Sus scrofa: one gene and its partners. Each later gene encodes a partner of the first gene's protein in a complex. Links are inferred from orthologs where the notes say so. Each region holds a gene or a part of one and is shown on either strand. Other genes may lie near its edges. The genes, in order: VAMP2, CPLX1 and SNAP25.

The links.
Region 2: the proteins of VAMP2 (region 1) and CPLX1 are in contact, whole or in part, in a crystal structure (PDB 1KIL), measured with the Rattus norvegicus proteins. The link is inferred for Sus scrofa from reciprocal best matches to the Homo sapiens genes VAMP2 and CPLX1. Residues at the interface, in NP_036795.1 of Rattus norvegicus: Arg47, Val50, Asp51, Leu54, Asp57, Gln58, Ser61, Asp64, Asp65, Asp68, Ala69, Gln76; in NP_074055.1 of Rattus norvegicus: Leu41, Arg48, Tyr52, Glu56, Arg59, Glu60, Met62, Arg63, Ile66, Arg67, Tyr70, Gly71, Ile72.
Region 3: the proteins of VAMP2 (region 1) and SNAP25 are in contact, whole or in part, in a crystal structure (PDB 1SFC), measured with the Rattus norvegicus proteins. The link is inferred for Sus scrofa from reciprocal best matches to the Homo sapiens genes VAMP2 and SNAP25. Residues at the interface, in NP_036795.1 of Rattus norvegicus: Asn25, Thr27, Ser28, Asn29, Arg30, Arg31, Leu32, Thr35, Gln38, Val39, Glu41, Val42, Ile45, Met46, Asn49, Lys52, Val53, Glu55, Arg56, Lys59, Leu60, Glu62, Leu63, Arg66, Ala69, Leu70, Gly73, Ala74, Gln76, Phe77; in NP_112253.1 of Rattus norvegicus: Gly131, Gly132, Phe133, Ile134, Arg135, Arg136, Asn139, Leu150, Glu151, Ser154, Ile157, Gly158, Leu160, Arg161, Ala164, Leu165, Met167, Gly168, Ile171, Asp172, Gln174, Asn175, Ile178, Asp179, Ile181, Met182, Ala185, Asp186, Asn188, Lys189.

What each region holds. Positions count from the first base shown.
Region 1 is NC_010454.4:53,378,210-53,384,794, forward strand, and holds VAMP2 (vesicle-associated membrane protein 2), read right to left. Parts: upstream 4,035-6,585; 5' UTR 3,894-4,034; coding exon 3,892-3,893; intron 3,384-3,891; coding exon 3,263-3,383; intron 2,805-3,262; coding exon 2,646-2,804; intron 2,566-2,645; coding exon 2,514-2,565; intron 1,903-2,513; coding exon 1,886-1,902; 3' UTR 198-1,885; downstream 1-197. UniProt on the Homo sapiens protein: Involved in the targeting and/or fusion of transport vesicles to their target membrane. Major SNARE protein of synaptic vesicles which mediates fusion of synaptic vesicles to release neurotransmitters.
Region 2 is NC_010450.4:227,474-234,058, reverse strand, and holds the start of CPLX1 (complexin-1), read left to right. Parts: upstream 1-2,337; 5' UTR 2,338-2,458; intron 2,459-2,785; exon of another isoform or gene 2,786-2,942; intron 2,943-4,241; 5' UTR 4,242-4,316; coding exon 4,317-4,347; intron 4,348-6,585. UniProt on the Homo sapiens protein: Positively regulates a late step in exocytosis of various cytoplasmic vesicles, such as synaptic vesicles and other secretory vesicles.
Region 3 is NC_010459.5:19,212,917-19,219,401, forward strand, and holds part of SNAP25 (synaptosomal-associated protein 25), read left to right. Parts: intron 1-2,044; coding exon 2,045-2,170; intron 2,171-6,485.

The DNA of each region.
Region 1 (6,585 bases):
AGGCCCTGGGCTCATGAACACATTATCGATTCCTGGTGCCCCCTTGTGGCCACTTTTGGGATCACACTTTGCCCTGCCCAAGGTCAGGTTCCTTGGCAAAGCTCAGTCTCTTCCAGATGTATCTTCTCAACCTTCTTGTTTTACCTGCAGATCCAACACCCTTCCCACTGGTTAGGAAAAGATCTTAAACCACCACCTGGTTACTCATTACACATTTATTGTACATTTTCACAATCTGGATGCGCCACAGAATTGGGGGCATGGGGTGAGGGAAGGCGGGGCAGGGGACACTGGGATAATAAGGGGGTCTAGAACACAGCACCCCCACCCCCAGCATCTTTCCCTACCCTTTCACAACACAGCTTTGATCTCCCTGCTCCCCCTCCACACAGAAACCTTTGAGTGTGGGGGGAAGAGTTTAGGCGGTCCCTTCCAGTGGCAGGTTAAGGGACTGCACCCTCAGACCCCCAAAATTGTGCCATTAAAAAAGACGTTACATCCTTCCTTATCATTTCACCTAAGGAGGAGACAGCTCTCTCTGGGCTCCACCACCCTGGAGAGGGGAAAGAATCACCACCTTCCGGCAAGTCCCACACACACATTGGCAGTGACTAAAACCCCTGCCCCGAATTCAGGGGGGCAATCAGAGGAGCTGATAGGGCAACACCCCCCAAATGGGTGAGGAGGGCTTTCAGTCAAACCCCCAGCAGGGGTGGGGCCAGAGATTTCAGGCAGGAATTGGGAGGATTCTTTGCCCTGCCCCACTCCTCCCCAAGGCAGTGATGACCCCACACACACAGGTAGCCACCTCTCCCAAGAAAAATCAGATTGTGGCCAACCCCCAACTCTCCTGCTGGGAGGAGGAGGAGGCGGGTCAGGCAGATGGGAGGGAGGGAGACCCCATGGGAATGTCAATTGAGCACCCCACTTGAAAACTGGGGAGCAGGAATGTGGGGAGAGACTCCAAGTGGCAGAATTATTGGTCCATCATAACACACTGAACTCCAAGACACGTACACACCAGCTGGGGGGAGGGGAAGGAGGGACAAGAGGTTTGGAAAATCGGGGAAGGGGAGGCAAACTGGACTGGAGGGGCTCGGAGAGGGCAATTCTGGGGGCCAGAACAGCCTGACACCCCCAATGCCCAGGCTCCCTACCACCTGCAAGTAATGTCATGCAAATGAAAAGTGTGATACAAGGACCAGACCAATAGGGACTAACTCCTCAGTAAAAAAGAAACACAAGTTGAAAGAATGAACAGAAGCCTGATGGAGAAAAAAAGGAAACCAAAAGGGATGTCAGTATGCAAATGATGCTAATTAACATGCTGGAAGCTCCCAGAAGACCTTGGGATTCTTAGGACCAAAAGGGACCAGTCTCAGAGCCTCCCAATGATGCAAAGAAGATGCACCTAGGGAGTCCTGGACAGCTGCTTTTCTTTTTTTTTTTTTTGTCGGGGGGTGGGGTGGGGTGAGGGGGTGTATGGGGAAGACCAGGGCGGGAGGAAGGATCAGCTAAATCCAAGGGAAGGAGGGGAGGAAGAGGGACTATTGCATAGCAGATGCAAATGAAGGGAGTTGGGGCCGGTGAGGAAGAGAGGGAAAGGAGAGGAGAGGAGGGGCAAAAGGAGGCGATGGGAACCTCAGGAAGGGGTGTTAAGGACAACCGGAAAAATCTTCTAGTAATAAAACTACAAACAGACCAAATATATATAATATTATATATGTATAAATAACAGCTGGCTATTTACAAGGGGGCACACACACGACACACACACGCGGATCCCGGGGGAGGAGGGGGCTGGAAGATATGGCTGAGAGGTGGAGGAGCGGCTGGGGATGGGGGGGAGAGGCCCTTCTCTGGGCAGGGCAGGCTCCTCAGGGGTTTAAGAGCTGAAGTAAACTGCAGAGAGGGAAAGAGAAGGAAGAAGAGGGGAGAAAGAAAGAGAAAGAGAGAAAGCAGCGTGTCAGGCCCGGCCCTGCTCCCACCTTCCCCACCTCCCAGCTGGCTGACCGTCCCTTCCCCTCCTGGTCTCAGATCCTCCATCTGTAAAGCAAGGAAGCTGCACAGGTCAGCTTCAAGGTCTCCTCAACGTCACGGTATGGCTTTGGGGCCACAGACCCCGAATCCTCGGAGCCTCTGAGACCACAGCTCTCAACCAATAGGGTGGTTGGCTTCCTAGCCATTTCTCAAGCCCCTGAGTCTTCGCTGCTCCCCCACACCCCAATTCCAGGGTTCCCATACTGGACAAACCCAAAGGGTCCTCAAGGGAGCAGTGGAGATCTCCACCGGCTTTCCGGTTTCCAAAAATCTTACCAGAAATTGCCCAGAACCAGGCAAAGTACAAGCTCAACAACATTGAGGTTTGGGGTGCTAGATGAATCAGAACTGCTATTGGCAGCTCTGTGTGCTCTTTGCTGAATAGTAAAAACGAGGTTAATGACCTTCAAAACCCAGACGTCAGGGGGGAAACCTCTCCAACAAAGGGGCCCGGCCACTCCCGCCCGACTCACCAATGATGATGATGAGGATGATGGCGCAAATCACTCCCAAGATGATCATCATCTGGGGGCGAGAAGGGCCGGTCAGGGAGACAGGCGGGGACACTCCCGGCCACCCACCACTCCTCCGGCCTCCACCCTTACCTTGAGGTTTTTCCACCAATATTTGCGCTTGAGCTTGGCTGCACTTGTTTCAAACTGGGAGGCCCCCGCCTGGAGTGCGTCGGCGCGGTCGTCCAGTTCCGACAGCTTCTGGTCCCGCTCCAGGACCTTGTCCACGTTCACCCTCATAATGTCCACCACCTGCGGGAAGGGCGCGGGGATGGGGGGGGGAGACCCATCTCAAAGGGCTCTCCTCAGCCAGGAGCCCACGTACGAGACATGCACCCTAGGGCTGTCTGGCTGACATGCAACAACATATGCGGAGCATGCCCAGCACACCTGGGGACATGCAAGGAGCACACGTCAGAGGCATGCTGGTGGCCAGACATCTCATATCACAGCAGCACCCTCTATTTACCGAGCCTCAAGCAGCCTGCGGGTCACGAGAGCACACCCGCCCAGGGTGAAACGGCGCAGGCCAGCAAGGCTAACACCCCACGGCCCTCCCAATTACACGACGTCAGGAACGCGGCTTGGTATGTTTTTGTCTCCGAACGCGAAAACGTGAACTGCCATCACCCTCAACCCACGATGGACCCCCAGACCGCTTTGCCATCCTCAGGGTCGTTCCCACTGCCTCTGCCCCCCCCACAACTCACCTCATCCACCTGGGCCTGGGTCTGCTGCAGTCTCCTGTTACTGGTGAGGTTTGGAGGGGGCGCGGGGGGGCCTCCCTCCCCAGCTGGGGCGGCGGGGGGTGCGGTCGCAGCGGTTGCCGACCTGAGGGGCACCGACGGATTAAGATCCAGGCCCTGGAGCCCTCGGCCCCGCAGCGAGGGCTCCGCCCATCCGTCTGTCCATCCATCCGTGCCCCCCTTCCTCCTTCTCGGGAGGAGAGCCACCCGAAGGGAGCCATGGCCTTCGCCCGGCCCCGCGGGCAAGCGGCCGCGTGACCTTGAGGGAGGCCCCCTCCCCCCTCCGGGCCTCAGTTTCCCCGCCTGTCAAATGAGGGCGACCTCACAGCCACGGTCGGGGGGACCCGCAATGAAAGGCGGCAGCGATGACAGGGGCGGGGCGGGCGGACCCTGCGTCTGCTCCCTCCGGCGCCAGCGCCCGCGCGGCCGGCCGGGGACCCGGGGCTCTCCGGCTGCCCGCGCGCCGTCACGGGCGCCGGCCTGGCCTCCGGGCGCGCGGGGGGCGCGGGCTGGACCCCGAGCCCTTCCCAGGCTCGGACGCAGGGGCGGCGGCCGGCGCGGGCAGCCGGGGCGGGCGCAGGCGGCCGACTCACATGGCGGGGGCAGCGGGCGGAGGACTTGGCAGCAGCAGGGGTGGCGGTGGCGGCGGCGGCGGCTCGCGCTGGCTCCGACTGGCGCTGGCTGCCCGGGACGGGAAGATGGCGGCCGCACGTCACCCACATCCGGGCACTGCGGGCGGGGGCGGGGCGCCGCGGGCCACTCGGCGGCAGCCGGGCCGCGGGGGCGGGGCGTGGGGGCGGGGCGCGGGGAGCGCAGCCCGCCCGCGGCGGGGCCCGCGAGGCGGGGCCCCCGGCCTCTCCCTCCACGGCCCGAGCCTGGGGGCCGCGGCCTACCCACACCCATGGCCCGGCCCTGATGGCACCCCTCGGCCCCAAACACCTCCTCCGTGAGACCCGTCCGCACCCCACCCCGACCCAGGTCTCAGCCCGCCCCCACGGTCCCAACGCCTGTTGACCGGTCTTCGGCATTTCAGATACGGGCGGGAGATGGGAAATCAGAAGGGTCACGTGCAGGTTCCGGGGCGATGCAGACAGGCGAGACCCCGCGGCTGAGGTGGAGTGGTGGCAGCTGGTCCCCAAAGCTTGCCCGCAGGTGGAGATCTCAAAGGAGGTCTGGGACAAGGAACTCTCTCCTCACAGCTGGGGTTCAGACCAGGGGTCCTTGGCAGCCTGGGCCTGACCGACAAGAGGCAAGCTTAGGGGCCTAGGAGGAAGGCAAGAGGCTGCCCCGTGGCGCTGCTTCAGGTGCGCCTGCAGACTGGCCCAAACCTGGCTCTGACCCAGAGTTGGATCAGCTACCCTGCAGCGGGAGGGCTCAGCCTCTGACCCCAGGCGAAAGGACAGAACTTTAGCTTTTACGTTTTGTTTTTTCCCTGGGGGGGCAGGACAGTAAGGAGGCAAAGGCAGTCCCTGCCTCCTGGGAGTGACCTTGGATAGCCCTTTGCCTGTCTCTGGACCCCAAATAGATTACATACTAGACACTACAGGGGTATTTGTTAAATGGCTTGATCCGGGACATGGTAGGAGATTATCCCCGGCCCCTTCCATCCCTGACTTGTCTCTGTTTAGATCCTCCAAACAGACCCAGCAGTTCACACACCCCCTCTGCTCATTCTCAGCAGGACTGGTCCCCTCAGAGAGGACAGGCTGAGAACAGGTGAGCTGCCTGTCCTGTGGGGTAGGTCAGATCAGCCTAAAGAGTAAAGAAGGTGGTACCTTGGGGGGGGGGTGGCTAGTGGCCCTGGAGCGAGGGTGCTCACTGCAACCCTGGAAGTGGGCAGAGGGGGCTGGTGGCCTTGGTCTCTGAGACAAACAGGAGCTGGCTTCCTCCCTCCCCCACCCAGGCCTCCCAGGGCCTCCGGGTGTGACAACCTCCCCCATGCAGCACCCCACCCCCTCCCAGCAGAAGCCTGGGCCAGGCTCTGTCACCAGAGGTGTCATTTCCCAGCTGTGTGGGGGAGGTGAGTGAACAGGGAGTGTGTGCGGGGTGCGGGGACTCAGCAGATCTAAGATGCGATGCTCTCAGCTTCTCCCCCTCCTGGGCGCTGCCACTGCCCTGGTCCCATGCACTCACACACACACACACACACACACACACACACACACAGTGTCTGGGTGGCTCAGTCAATGTGAAAAGGAAGAAAAGAACAGCTTCCCTGAGGGTCCTAGATGACGCTGCAGGGGGCTAGCTCTTGCTTTTTGGCCCTGAGACTACTCTGCTTTCTAGCTAGAGAACAAAAATGCCAGATTCCAGGCTTTTAAGTTCAAAAGCTGTGGTGTCTGTGTCTAAGACAGATTAAGGTTGGAAGGAGATACAAAGAGGCTGGACTTCCCACCGCCACCCTGTCCCAACACCCTAAGCTGGCAGGGGGCAACCAGTGGAGGACCAAACAAGATGTTAGACAGGGGGTTAGGAGTGATCCCCATTCCTGGATGGTCAAGTCCAGGGGACGTGCAAGGGACAGAACCTGGGATAAATTGGAGGAGCTAAGGCCATGGGGTGTGGCTTGGAAAGCTGGCACATTGCTGTTGCCCTCAGAGTCTGGGGGCGGCAGCAGCAGAATCGAGATGGGAGCATGGAGTTCTCTTGTGGCACAGTGGGTTAAGGATCCTTGGGTCGCTGCTGTGGCATGGGTTCAGTGCCCACCCTGGGTGAGGCTGTGTATGATCCATGGAGGCGGAGTCTCAGGAGGATTTATCTTGAAGACAGGACTCTCATTGAGCAGCCCTCTCCACCCACCCCACCTTTGCTGGTGTGCTAAGGAACTCCCCAAATTTTGATGAGTGCTGGAGGCAGGAGAAGAGGAGGGATGGGGAGACCCAGTTCACCTGGAAATGACTAAGAGAATGTTTTCTGCAGGCAGATAGAGTGGAGACCCAAAACAGAGGTAAACGGAACTAAAGAAAGAGAATGCATCTGCAGAGTTCCCGACGTGGTGCAGCAGAAACGAATCCGACTAGCATCCATGAGGACTTGGGTTGATTCCTGGCTTCATTTGGTGGGTTAAGGATCTGGCATTGCCGTGAGCCGCCACGTGGAGCCCAGACGTGGCTCGGATCCCATGTTGCTATGGCTGCAGTGTCGGCCGGCAGCTGCAGCTCCGATTCAAGCCCTCGTCAAGGGTTGGCAGCCAGTTCTCTGGGCGCCACTGTCAAGGCTCCTTCCAAAGATGTGGGAGGAAGTCCAAGTTCACTTCTAATGAGGACCTCCAGGAATTCTGCTGTAGA
Region 2 (6,585 bases), on another chromosome or scaffold:
AGCTGGCCCGGGCCCCGGAGTTTGGCTCTGGCCAAACACACGCGCCCCAAAACTGACTGCTTGGTTGGAACCCCTCCCCATCTCTCCAGCTCCGTGCACCCTCCTCCTGCCTGGCCTGGCCTCTGGCCACCCCCCGACGGCCCACAGGTGTGCCCCCACCACCATCCTGGGTCTCCAGCCCCGTGGATCCTGATGGGTGCCCTTGGCTGTTACAGATGTTTTCTGCTCAGCTCCTGCCTCGGGAGGACCCGTCCAGGACCCAGGCCCTCTTTGGGGCACTCACAGGGCCATGAGTGCCTCCTGGGATGTGGCCCTGAGGCTGGGTCGCCTCCGGAGCCCATGTGGCCATTGGGCCCATCCGTCCTCACCTTCTGCCCAGAGCCCCTGCCCCCACCCCCCGCCCCTAGTCCTGACTCCACAACTGCCTGGCCTCCCTGGCCTGGGACTGTGGCCAACCTTGTCTATTTCACATGGGAGCCCCCCACCTCCCCACCCCCCGCCCCAGCCCGGGGCCTGGATGTCTGAGGAGGGCAGCTGTGTGTGCAGTGGGTCTAAGAGGAGTAGCAACAGACCAAGACAGACAGAGATGGAGGGAGACAGAGGAAGAGCCAGAGAGACAGAAGGACAGAGACAGAGGAACAGACAGATACATGGATAGAGAGGGAAGGAGAGATACACAGAGACGGAGACAGAGCTGGCGACTTCAAACCTGACCTCTGAATGGTGACCCCAGAGGGAGGGAGAGGGAGGGAAGGAGAGACAGGGCTAGAAGGTCAGGCAGCAGGACCAGCAGAAGGGCCTCTGGCTTCTGGGCCCCAGGGGTGTGTGGAGTTCAGCCAGGCCTGGGCCACGGGATCGGCGGGGGGGGGGGGGGGGGTGGAACCTGTGCTCACGGACACCTGCACTCCCCTCTCCTGCCCATACGAAGCCCCACACCCAGCCTGGCAGCCCCAAGGTCAGTGGCGTGTCTCCCTGCCTTGAACGGGCCACTGGGGTCATTGGTCATGGGGCTGCCCTGGACTCAGCTGGGGTCACCTCAGGGGCCTCTGCGGGGTTACCATCAGGAGGTCAGCTGTGGGTCAGTCCTCAGGTCCACCTAGTGGCGGGGGGCCTCTAGTGGGGAAAGTGACGTGCCCCTTTCCTGGACCCACACTCTCCCTCTGGCATCCACACCCAAGTTCTCAGGACACCAAAGGCCCAGGCTGGGCAGAGCCTGTGGGCTCAGGCTGGACCCTCAAGACCCTCAGACACATGCAAACAGGCGGCCGCTCCCATCCGTCCTCAGACCTGCAGAAGCCCTGGGGCTTTGGCCCACCTCCCCCGAAGGGTGGGGATAGAGGTGCAATGGAGGCACTCCTCACACCCCTGGGTCAGCCAGGGTGTGTCCCAGGGCCCCAGCTTCTGAGCTGCCCCACCCACCCTCCTGGCACTTCCTCACCCCGATCTAGGTGACAGGAGCCATCAGCAGGAGGAATGGATAGAGTGCTGGGGAGGCTGCAGATGCAGAGTGCAGCGTGCCGCTGCCCCCCCGCACAAAGCAGTGCTGGCCTGTGCCGCCCTGCCTGCACCTGCTGGGCACAGCGGGCGGGGGTGGGAGCTGGGAGCCCAGGTGCCAAGCAGACGCGGGGCGGGGGGAGAGCACCCCCCCGGGAGCCCCCCCCCCCCCGCAGGCACGTCCTCCAGCGTTCAGGCTGTGAGTCCTGGGGAGGGGCCTGAGCAGGGGTCTCCTGGGGTTGGGGGTCTCCAGGAGCTGCCCCTGCCCCCACAGGCCCAGGAGCCCTGATGACTCAGCTGGGAGGGATGGGGAAAGCGCAGGGCCACCAGGGGTGTCCACCTGCTGACCAGGAGGCCAGCAGAGACCCCAGACCCCTGCCGAACCGTGGGCCCCTCCCACAACAGTCTTCCTACCCCGAGAGCAGCGGCGGGACCGGAGGCCCAGCCGCCGACCTTGCAGCGACCCCGCTCTCCCCGCAGCGCAGCTTCCGCCGCAGAGGAAATCCCGGAGGCCCGGGGAGGGGGCGGCCCCGCGGGGGCGGGGCTGCGGGGACAGCGAGCGCCACAGCCAGTCCGCAGTGACCTTGGCGCGTCCCCGCCTCGCTTGGGGCCCTGGGCGGAGGGGCGGAGGGGGCGGAGGAGGCGGGGGTCTCTCGGACCCTGTCCCACTGAAATGAAACGGCGGGGCTCTTTCGTTGCGACTCTGTTACACAGAAAAATAGGTCCGGGCCGGTGTGCAGACTGCTCCTCGCTAACGGTTGTGTGGGTTTTCAGGGCCTGGGGGCTCCCTTCTCCTGCCCAGCGGTGCCGGAGGCCCTAGAGCGGCGCGGGTCCGGGACCCCGACAGCGACCGCCGTCGCCGCCGTCGCCAGGGAACTCCTTCGCGAGCGCGCGGGGGCAGAAAGGGAGACCGCGGGAAACGGCGCCCCCGACCCGCGGCCGGACTGGAAAGGACTTTTCCCAGGGGAGTCGCGCGCGTACCCGTCCGCCCGCTGGGTGCCCCTCACGGGCGGAGGCGTTGGGTGTGCGGGGCCCTGTCCGCGGGGGGAGGGCAGCCCCCGGGACCCACGCGCAAGGGGATCGGATGGCGCGGGCTGGGGGTCGTATCCGGGATTCCGAACTAATGGGTGGGCCGGGGTCGTGCGCGCCGGCTCGGAGAGACAGCGCCCCAAGACCCGCGAATCCGGCCAGGGAGCCGGGTTTGGGAGCGGGGGTGGGGGGCGGCTCCGCCCCCCGCCCCGCGGGCGCCCGCCCCGCGCCGCTGCCCCGCCCTCCTCGTCACGCTCGGACGCGGGCGGGGGGCGGGGAGCGCCTCCATGTGACGCGCCCTCCTCGCGGTGCCCTTCAGCTGCCGCCGCAGTTCCCGGCGCGCCACATGGAACCGGCCGGCCCGAGCGCGCTCTGCCGCTGACCGCCCGCCAGCCCGCCCGCGCTGCGGCCCCGGGAAGGTAACCGGCGTCCCCGCGCGCAGCCCCCTCCCCGGCCCTGCGGCCCCCTCCGCGGCCCAGGCTGGGCGCGCACTGAGCCCCTGGCGGGCGCTGTCCGCAGACGCGGTGCTGAAGCGGCTCCAGGGTCCCGGCCCTCCTTCCTGCTCCTTGGCCCGCATCTCCTGCCGCTCGAATCTCCCCTTCCCCTCGCTCGTCCTCTCTCTCTCTCTCTCTCTCTCTCTCTCTCTCTCTCTCTCTTTTCCCTATGTTCTGGCGCGCTCCCGCCTGAGGGCTGCTTGGCTGAGCTGGGCAGCTCGATCTCCTGCAAAGCCAAGGGGTACGGCGGCCGCGGGAGCTCCGAACCGCGCGGGGCGGCGGTGGGAGGGCTGCGGAAGCTCCAGCGGCACCTGGTCTCTCTGTGTCTGGGCCTGAGGCTTCCTCTTCCCCCCCTAGTCCTCCACCCCACCCCGCCACCAGAAGCCAGGGGAGAAGTTTGGAAGAGAATCTGTGTTGCGGCAAGGGCGCCCCTGCGCGCGAGCGCTTTGCGAACAGGCAGGGGCACTCCCGCCCCCTGCCCCCTCCGCAGCCCGCACACTCGCGGATCTCCTTCGTCTGAAGGGGAAAAAAACGCAAATAGCGCATCTCCAGGGACCTGGGTTTCCCTGCCAGGAGCGACCTCACAAGGGGGGAGGGGACACACCGCAGCTGCAGGTTTTATAGGAAGCACCTCCCACCAGACCTCCAGCTGGCCTGGACCCTGGAGAGCCCCATCCACGCAAGTGCATGTGGAGGGATGGACTGCCCCCCCCCCATTTTATTTGTTTCCTGAAGGCTGGGCCCCCTGCAGTTTCTCCTTTCCACCTCAGTCTCTGCTGTGGGCTGGTGGCCTTGGGTGCCGGCCTCTCCCCTGGATGGTACCTGGTCTCCGAAGACTCTTTCCTTGGGAACCAAAGGGAGCGCCCACTCAGGTCTCAACCTTTAGATGGACCCAGGGTTCCACCAAGGAGGCAGCAGAGCCAGTCACCTCCAAACGCCCCTGGGCCTGCCCCACTTGGCGCAGGCTGGTTCCTCTGAGCTGCACCCCCCTCCCTGCATTCGCAGCCAGAAGCTGGCATCAGAAACCCCAAGGCCAGGGGAGACTATTTTGCAGGGGCCTCGGGTGCCCGTCCCAGTGCTGTGGTCTGGCCTTGAGGTGTGGGGGAACCATGAATGATGCTCTCTCAGACCCCAGACCCATGCCCAGGGAAGCCGGGCAGGTGCGAGGAAGAAGTCCTCCCCCGCCCTGTCGGAGGATGACTTGTGCCCACGTCCTCTCCCCAGGCAGAGGACTTCTGGCCACACTCGAATGTGAGCTACGGCCCTCCAAGGAGCCACTGAGGACTCAAAGCCATCGCCATGGAGTTCGTGATGAAACAGGCCCTGGGAGGTAGGAGGGGCCGCTGCATCCCCAGCAGCAGGCGGACACGCGGGGTTGAGCACAAATGTCACATGACACCCAAAGCACACTGCAGGCCCCTCCGGACAGAGTGGGGGAGGCAGGGACCAAAGGCAGCCCCTCCCGAAGCACCTTGGCCAGCTTTGGGGCGGGGGGTATGCACACCTAGTACCAGGATGTGCAGAGCTGAAGCACCTCCACCCCGCCTTGGGAGGACACCCCACGGTAGGTTGAGGGGAACGGGGGCCAGTCTGGCCAGAGCCGGTGGCCCCCACAAGGACATTGCTTCTGGTGAGCAGAGCTGCAAGAGGCTGCAGGGTGGCTACGGCCACTGGAGTGCGGGTAAGGAGCAGAGATGGGCTGGTGGCATCCAGCAAGGGCTTCATGGTGTCACCGGGGTGGGGCCAGCAGTGTGTACAGGGAGCCGGGGCTGGCTGAGCTCAGGGACAAGAGAAGAGGCCCCGGGTAACTCGTGTGCCCTCCCCCATGGAGCAGTGCAGCCTCTTGTGTGTGCTGGGGGAAGGGAGCCCTTCCGGCCCTGCCGACTGCTTTTGAAAGGAATCCTGTACCTGCTTGGCTGGAGGCCATCTCCACGGCCAGAGACCCTGGCCTGGTGGGGAGGTGGTAAACGCAGTGGGCCGGGACCCAGGCCCAGGAGGTGGGCAGGGCAGCGGGCCGAGGTCCACACTGGTACAGATGCAACCCAGGCCTGACTCTGCGGTTAGAGATGTCTTCTTTGGGTGATGGCACCAGCCTTGGACCTCACGTGGTCTCTGTGGGCCACGCCCTGACCCAGTGCCTTTCACAGCCTGGCATGAGCCAGGTGAAGCATGACAAGGCCACTCCTTGGCAGGAGGGACTGAGCGCTCCTCACCAGAGACGGGGTGCCGTGGGCGCTGTCACGCTAGGCGCAAGGGGCAGGGTCGAGGGCCAGTGGCACAGAGCCCAGACAGGGGCCCCGCGTGTGGCTTCTCTTGGAAAGTGGCGGCATTTCCACTCAACATGAATTAACCGAAGAGACTGAGCCTGGCCCAGGGCCACCCTTCCTGAGATTTTGTGGTCAAGGATAGGCTGCAGGTTGAGTCTAATTATAATGATGACGTCACTGGGACGTGATTCAGGGACGGGCCGCATCCTGGCAGCAGGAGGGATCCGAGTTCCACCCAGCCAGTCCCAGGCTGTTACAGATAATTAATTAGGTGGCTAATTCAGGCCTGAGGTGGGCTTGTAGGAAAACTGAAATATCTGATTTGGCTGTCTACATGGCTGGAATTAGCAGGGTAATTGCCAGCCTGGATTCCCTTTGTTCTGTGTCAGCCCAAAGTTTCTCCTTCGATGGCGATGGGGAGGGCTTCACCAGCCACTTGGGAGCCTGGGCGTGGAGGGGTGCAGCCAGCCAGGCACCTCCAGGCAGCCCCTCCCTGGTGCCCCGGGCCCAGCGTGCCCCCTGCCCGCACCCCGTCCTCACCCCAGTGCTGCTGGGGGCGGGGGCTGCTCCGCGTGAGACTGAGTTTTCTCTCCCCCAGCGGGCGTCATTTTGGTGTCTCGGGATGAGTGTGGGTGAGAGGCAGACAGACGGAGACCGGGAGACGGTGCCGAGAGAGACAGAGCAGAGCCGCAGACACAGAGGCAGGACAGACCCGGGACGCTGTCCAGAGACAGGCGGGCCCAGGGGAGACACAGCCAGACACAGACCAAGAAGGGGAAGGCAGTGCCGTGGACCCTGGACGCAGAGATGTGGAGAAACAGGCCTGGAGGGGGACAGACGCAGGATGGGACAGCGGGGGCCAGGCAGCCTGGAGTCAGGCGGGGCAGGCAGCGGGGCGCGAGGCTCAGAGCAGAACTGCAGGAGGAATACACCACGGAGGAGACAGGGCGCTGGGCCCGGGACCAAGGGACTCGAGCAAATGGGTCAGGAAGTGTCAGTGCAGGACAGACGGACAGAGAGGGACACTCAGGGAAACACAGAGAGAGAGGCAGAGTGAGATGGACAGACTGAGAGACAGTGAGAAACAGGGATGTTTCAGAAACAAAGTGAGAAATGGAGTCGGGGCCAGAAGCAGCCCTGTCCCCACACGCACGCCCATGCGCCCGCTTCCCAGTGCTTGTCGTCTGCCTGATCCTGCGTCTCGGGCAAGGCCTTTGTTGGTGCAGAGGCTTTGAAATGACTCCTGGCGGAGACTGCAGTTGAGGGCCTCAAGAGCCCTGAGATAGACAGACAGACAAGAC
Region 3 (6,485 bases), on another chromosome or scaffold:
CCTGTTCTGTGATGAATTCCAACAGATACTTTTTCCCCACCCATCAACTGTGTGTGGAGAAAGGGTGGAGGCAGGCCCCCTCACTCCCCGGGATGGATTCCAATATAAAGATGAAATGACGGCCCCTACAAATTCCACATACTAGTTGGCACTAATTCCTTATTGCACAAGAGACCCTAACTGAGCTTCAAAGCTTGACTGAAATGTTCCCTATTGTGTGTAAATAATGCTTTAAAAACCATGTGTCACAACGCAGTGGCTGGTGGTGCCCTGGACTCTCTGAGGGCTTCGCCCTGTCTCTGCATGTTTCGAAGGACTATGGTAGATGTCCAGCACTTATGTGAGTCTATGTGCAGCATTGTGGGTGCAGTGATTCGCCTTCGTTCAGAAACGCAAACCTCCCCAACCCCCTTGACTCTGCCAAAGATGGTATACCAGACATTTTACATAGCAGAAAGCATCACAAGGTCCAGGTAACTTCTTCTAATATGAGGAGGGAGGGGATGGGGATTTGGAGGAAGGGGGAACCAGACTTTAAACTCTATTAAATTCGTTTTTGGATTTTGTCCCACTAAGTGGGCTCCTGGCTCTTAGCAGCGAATTTGGACTGCTGCAGGGGTTGTGGCATTCATGATACATCAGATTATGGGAGTCGCTGAAATTTCATTTGGACAGTTTTCCAATTTGTCTCCAGGGTTGCTTGGTCCCCAGTCTGCAAATATTAGTGGTAGAGCCAGTTTTAATAGATGGCTATGGTCCTCCAGTAAAAGAAAAAAGAAAGAAAGAAGCTAAATTCTGGTGCCTTATCATAGAAAATGTGAAAATGGGACCAAAGAAAGTTCTGTTCTTGGACTAAAAAGCGTGTGGTTTCTACTATGCAAAGAACCTAAAAACATCTTTGATGGCACAATTACAACACACCCACCAAAATATGCTGCACATGTTTCTATTGGGCACAACAGGTATGCCTGGATTTTAAGTCTCTCTCCAAGGCAGCTCAGTGAAATATGGCCCACGGAGACCACACCCTTTCCAGACTACTCTTCCCCTACCTGACCCCAGCATAGTTTAAGTAGGAGTTTGTAACCACTCCCAGCCTGCCCCGCTGCCCAACAAAGAAGCTATTGAACCTGCGTTTCAAATCTTCATGAAGGCTATTACTGTCCTGCTAGTGCCTTTTTGAGAATGATCAACTTCTGGAGTAGTTTGGCTTAAATGAGAATGCTTCACTTTCTACTCATGCCTGTAGCTGGTGCATGAAGAAGATGTAGAGGGATTTCCCTTTTTTTGGTGCTAGATGGCTTGTTCTCTCTTCTATTTTCCTGCATTCATTTCACTACGCCTCTTTTACTTTTTGTCTCTGTGGACAAAGGTTTGTACATCGACTCTGGATGTATGGTGACTGTTTGGAAGTACCGATATATTATCTAATTCAAATCACTCTAGAGGCAACTCAAAGACCATCACCCTTGGCCAACCACCAGTCCTTTATGTGCTCCATGCAGAGTGGGAATGCTTGGTTCCACAAATGCCTTGAGGGAAAAAAAATTAAAACAGGGAATCTTTGCATGATGGTGTGTAAAAACTTGGTCCAGTATGTTTTTTTTGATGCCAGTGCGTTGCTGTGGTGTGATGTACACACTCTACTTGGCAGTCTTGTTTTGTGTCTGTCTGCCAGTATGTTTCTTCTGTGTGTTTTGTGTCTCAAAATAGAACCTTGTCATTGAAATAGAACTGAATGTCCTCCAGCTACCTTAAATCTTGTCTTAAATCCAACAAAAACAAACCAAAACAAAGAACAACCTATGGGCAAAGTTTGCCATCTTGACAATTGCAGTTGACTTGATTGGAAATGAAAATCCTGAGTAGCTGAGGCATGGTGGTGGCCAACTGTTTGGGTCCGGATTATGATATATCGGTATTCTCTGATGCCTCAAATTAAAACTCATTTGCTTGGTTCGATTCTTAGCTTGAAGAGGGAACCATTGTTGTGAGCTTGATGCTCCACCCCCTTTGCTGGTCACTCACCCTCTTTTTTGCATAGGCTTAAATCAAGTGATGCTTACAAAAAAGCCTGGGGCAATAATCAGGATGGAGTTGTGGCCAGCCAGCCTGCTCGTGTGGTGGACGAACGGGAGCAGATGGCCATCAGTGGTGGCTTCATCCGCAGGTGAGCCTAGTGCAGCCAGCATTATAACAATTACCTGATTTTTCAAAATTTTAATGGAGTATAGTTGACTTGTGGTGTTATGTTACCTTCAGTTATACAGTAAAGTGAATCAGTTCTACGTATACATATATCCATTCTTTTTCAGGTTCTTTTCCCATATAGGTAATTACAGAGTATTGGGTACATTCCCTTGTGCTATACAGTAGGTCTTTGTTACTTACCAATTTTATAAATAATAGTGTGTACATGCCACTCCCAACCTCCCAGTTCATCCCTCCCCATAGCATTTCCCTTTTGGTAACCATAAGTTTGGTTTTGAAATCTTTGGGTCTGTTTCTGTTTTATGAATACGTTCTTTTGTACTGTTTTTATTAGATACCATGTATTAATGATCTCATGTGATATTTCTCTTTCTTTGTCTCACTTGCTTCACTTAGTATGATCATCTCTAGGTCCATCCATGGGGATGCAAATGGCATTCTTTCATTCTTTTTTTTGGCTGAGTAATATTCCATTGTACATATGTACTACATCTTCTTTATCTAATTCTTTGTTGATGGACACTTAGGTTGCTTCCATGTCTTGGCTATTATAAATAGTACTGCCATGAACATTGGAGTGCATGTATATTTTTGAAATATGGTATTCTCCAAATATATGTCCAGGAGTGAGATTGCTGGATCACATGGTAGTTCTATATTTATTTTTTATTTATTTATTTTTATTTTTATTTTTTTGCTTTTTGGGACCACACATGCAGCATATGGAAGTTCCCAGACTAGTGGTCTGGTTGGAGCTACAGCTTCCCACCTACACCACAGCCACAGCAATGCAAGATTGGAGCTGTGTCTGTGGCCTACACCACAACTCATGTCAGATCCTTAACCCACTGAGTGAGGCTAAGGATTGAACCCAAGTCCTTATTGGGTTTGTTACTGCTGAGCCACAGCAGGAACTCTAGTAATTCTATATTTACTTTAAGGATCCTCCATACTGTTATCCATAATGGTGGTACCAACTTATATGCCCACCAACAGGGTAGGAGTGTTCCCTTTTCTCCACACCCTCTTCAGCATTTATTGTTTGTAGACTTTTTGATGATGGCCATTCTGACTGGTATGAGGTCAGTTATCTACTTTTTAGGGACAAACCACCTCAAACTGAGTGGTTCTTAAAACAATCATTTTATTACTTTTTTTTTTTTTTGCTTTTTAGGGCCCCACCTGTGGCATACGGAGGTTCCCAGCCGAGGGGTTGAACTGGAGGTGTAGCCGCCTGCCTACACGACAGGCACAGAAACGTCAGATCTGAACCACATCTTCGACCTATACCACAGCTCATGGCAACGCTGGATCCCCAACCCAGTGATCGAGGCCAGGGATTGAACCCACTACCTCATGGTTTCTAGTCAGATTCACTTCTGCTGAGCCATGGCGGGAACTCTCACTTTTATTACTTCCGAATTTTTTTTTTTTTGCCACACCCAAGGCATGTGGAAGTTCCCGAGCCAGAGACTGAAGTTGAGCCACAGCAGTAACTCAAGCTGCTGCAGTTACAACACCAGATCCTTAACCCACTGTGCCGCAGAGAACTCTCTGAATCTTTTCGTTGGCTGAGCAGTTCTTCCGAGAGCCTCTCCTGGGCTCACTCATTATATATAACTGGGTGTAGGATGATCCAAGATGGCCTTATTGTTTATCTGGTGGTCGGCTGGGGCTGTCACTGAGGGCCTCTCTTTTCCTCTCCGTGGCCTCTCCAACAGTAAAGCCCAGGTTTCTTGCATGGTGGGGGCAACAACCTCAGCAGTAGACTCTGATGCACAGGATTTATCAAACCTTTGCCCACGTTTCGTGAGACAAACCAAGTCACATGACCACATCCAACACCAGCGCAGTAGTAAGGAGGTGTCTCATTTCATGAGTTCAGTTGGACAGAAGTTACTAAAGAGATTGTTTACAGAGGTGTGGGCAGTGTCAATAACAAGGAACGGTGAAGCACTTAGGAACTAGCAATAGCCAGGAAGGGTCCTAACTGGCCAGGAGCAATCTATCACCAGAAGCCAAGAGGAATTACATCTGTGGGCAGGGGCTATATGTTGAGATTCAGCAACTGTAGACCCAGCAGGAAACAAGAAAGGGAAATAAGTGCCCCAACCCCTCAGCCTCTTGCCCTCCGGTCCCTCAATGGCCATTGGCCAGAGGCCACAGAAAGTCAAAATAAGAGAACCTGGGTGATAGGGTTGTAGAGAGGTCAGCCTCTGAGCCAGAGAACAGATCAAGGGGTACACACAGAGAATAATGAGGAGACCTGACTTCTTAAGCAGGTCCTATGAGATCTGGAAACAAAAGCTAATTTAACCTCTATTTAAAAATCTCAAATCACACATCTGCTGATTTAAAACTCAGCTCCCAAGAGATCAGAAAATAATAATAATAACAAATAGTCCTGTTGCCAAAAAAAAAAAAGGGAAAAGTTATTCTTTTTTGCAGGTTACTACCCTAGGACTCAGCAGTAACTAGGGTAGCTGTTTGATCAACCATCTATATACCCAGATTCAAAAGATGAGTCACTGCTCTTTATGTATAAATGTCCAGATGTCTACCCAGAACTTCACAGATGACAATTCTATTCATGTTTCTGTCTGCTCCCAGGGAAACTAGACCAGGGGTCCTCAAACCTAACTGCATATTAGAATAACTGTGCAATTTTTTAAAAGTATCAGTGCCTGGGCTTAATCCAAACCCAGTGAATCAGAATCTCTAGAAATGAGACATGGATATCAGTAGTTTTAAAGCTGCTCAGGTAATTCTGAAATGCAAAGAGGGCTGAGGACCATGGAATTAGAAGTATGTCTCAGCTGCTGATGATCATTTAAATAAGCTTCTTTTTTTCTACATAAGAGATCTAGAAAGTTCCCTTTTAATTTTATCTGGATTTAAATGGTTTTAAAACCTTAGAGAAACAATCTGCATTGGGATTTACCATGGGGGAAGGATGTTAACCCTTCCAAACATATTTTAGCCCATCAGCATCTGTGGTAGAAAAATGTTTTTTGGTAGGGTTTTTTGTTGTTGTTGTTGTTTTTGCTTTTTAGGGCCGCACCCATGGCATATGGAGGTTCCCAGGCTAGGGGGCCAATTGGAGCTACAGCTGCTGACCTATGGCACAGGCACAGCAATGCAGAATCCAAGCCATGTCTATGACCTACACCACAGCTCACGGCAACACCAGATCCTTAACCTACTGAGCAAGGAACCCGAAAACTCGTGGTTCCTAGCCGGATTTTTTCCACTTCGACACGATGGGAACTCCTAAAAAGAGTTACTTCTTAACTTTCAAGCTGGACTATGAAAAAAATGAGAGCCAAGTCCTTCCTCCCCACTTAAACTGAAACAGTAATTTTCTGTCCCAGTCTTCTTCTTTGAGATCATCCATTCACAGTGCCACCAAAAATCCCATAGCATTGAAATCTGAGCAAATAAAACCACCTTGACAAAAAGCTCCCTTTGGAGTTCTTGGGAGCAAAAAGGATTAAGGGGCAGACTATAATTCACATTCCTCTTCCCTTTGATATTGGTCCCAAATGGAGAAGGAGATGGGTGGAGAAATTCTGTGACTTAGTTCAATAGCTTTCTCTTTCATTCTAAATTTGACCCTTGTAGATTTTGATTGACATCTCAGAAAGAAAAATACAGTTTCTAACTAGTTCCATCTTCATTCTCTGACCCAGAATCCTCCCAGCTAAAATGATTTTACCCTTAAAAAAAAAAAAATGAAAATTGGGATAAACATATGAAGGGAGGAAATGATGATGTGTTGGTGGAAGTTAGAAAAGTAGGTAAATTAATCTATTTAATATGCCTTCTTTAAAAGTAGAAATTTAGGAGTTTCCTTTGTGGCTCAGTGGTTAACGAACCCGACTAGGATCCATGAGGACGCAGGTTCAATCCCTGGCCTCACTCAATGAGTTAAGGATCCAGCGTTGCCATGGTCTGTGGTGTAGGTCGAAGATGTGGCTCAGATCCTGCGTTGCTGTGGCTGTGTGTAGGCCAGCAGCTGCAGCTCTGATTCGACCCCTGGCCTGGGAACCTCCATAGGCTGTGGGTGCAGCCCTAAGAAGCAAAAAAAATAAAAATAAAAAATAAAAGTAGAAATTTATCAATATGCAATTTTTAAAAGTACCTTGTAATGTACAAAAGCTAAAATGTGTTCCTGTGTTGAACGGAGATTCAGAAAGTATAGGGTTGATACCTAGAGGTCTATAGATTTACCCTCATCTTTGACTCCTTGGTATTTGAGTTTCTTTTATCTTCTA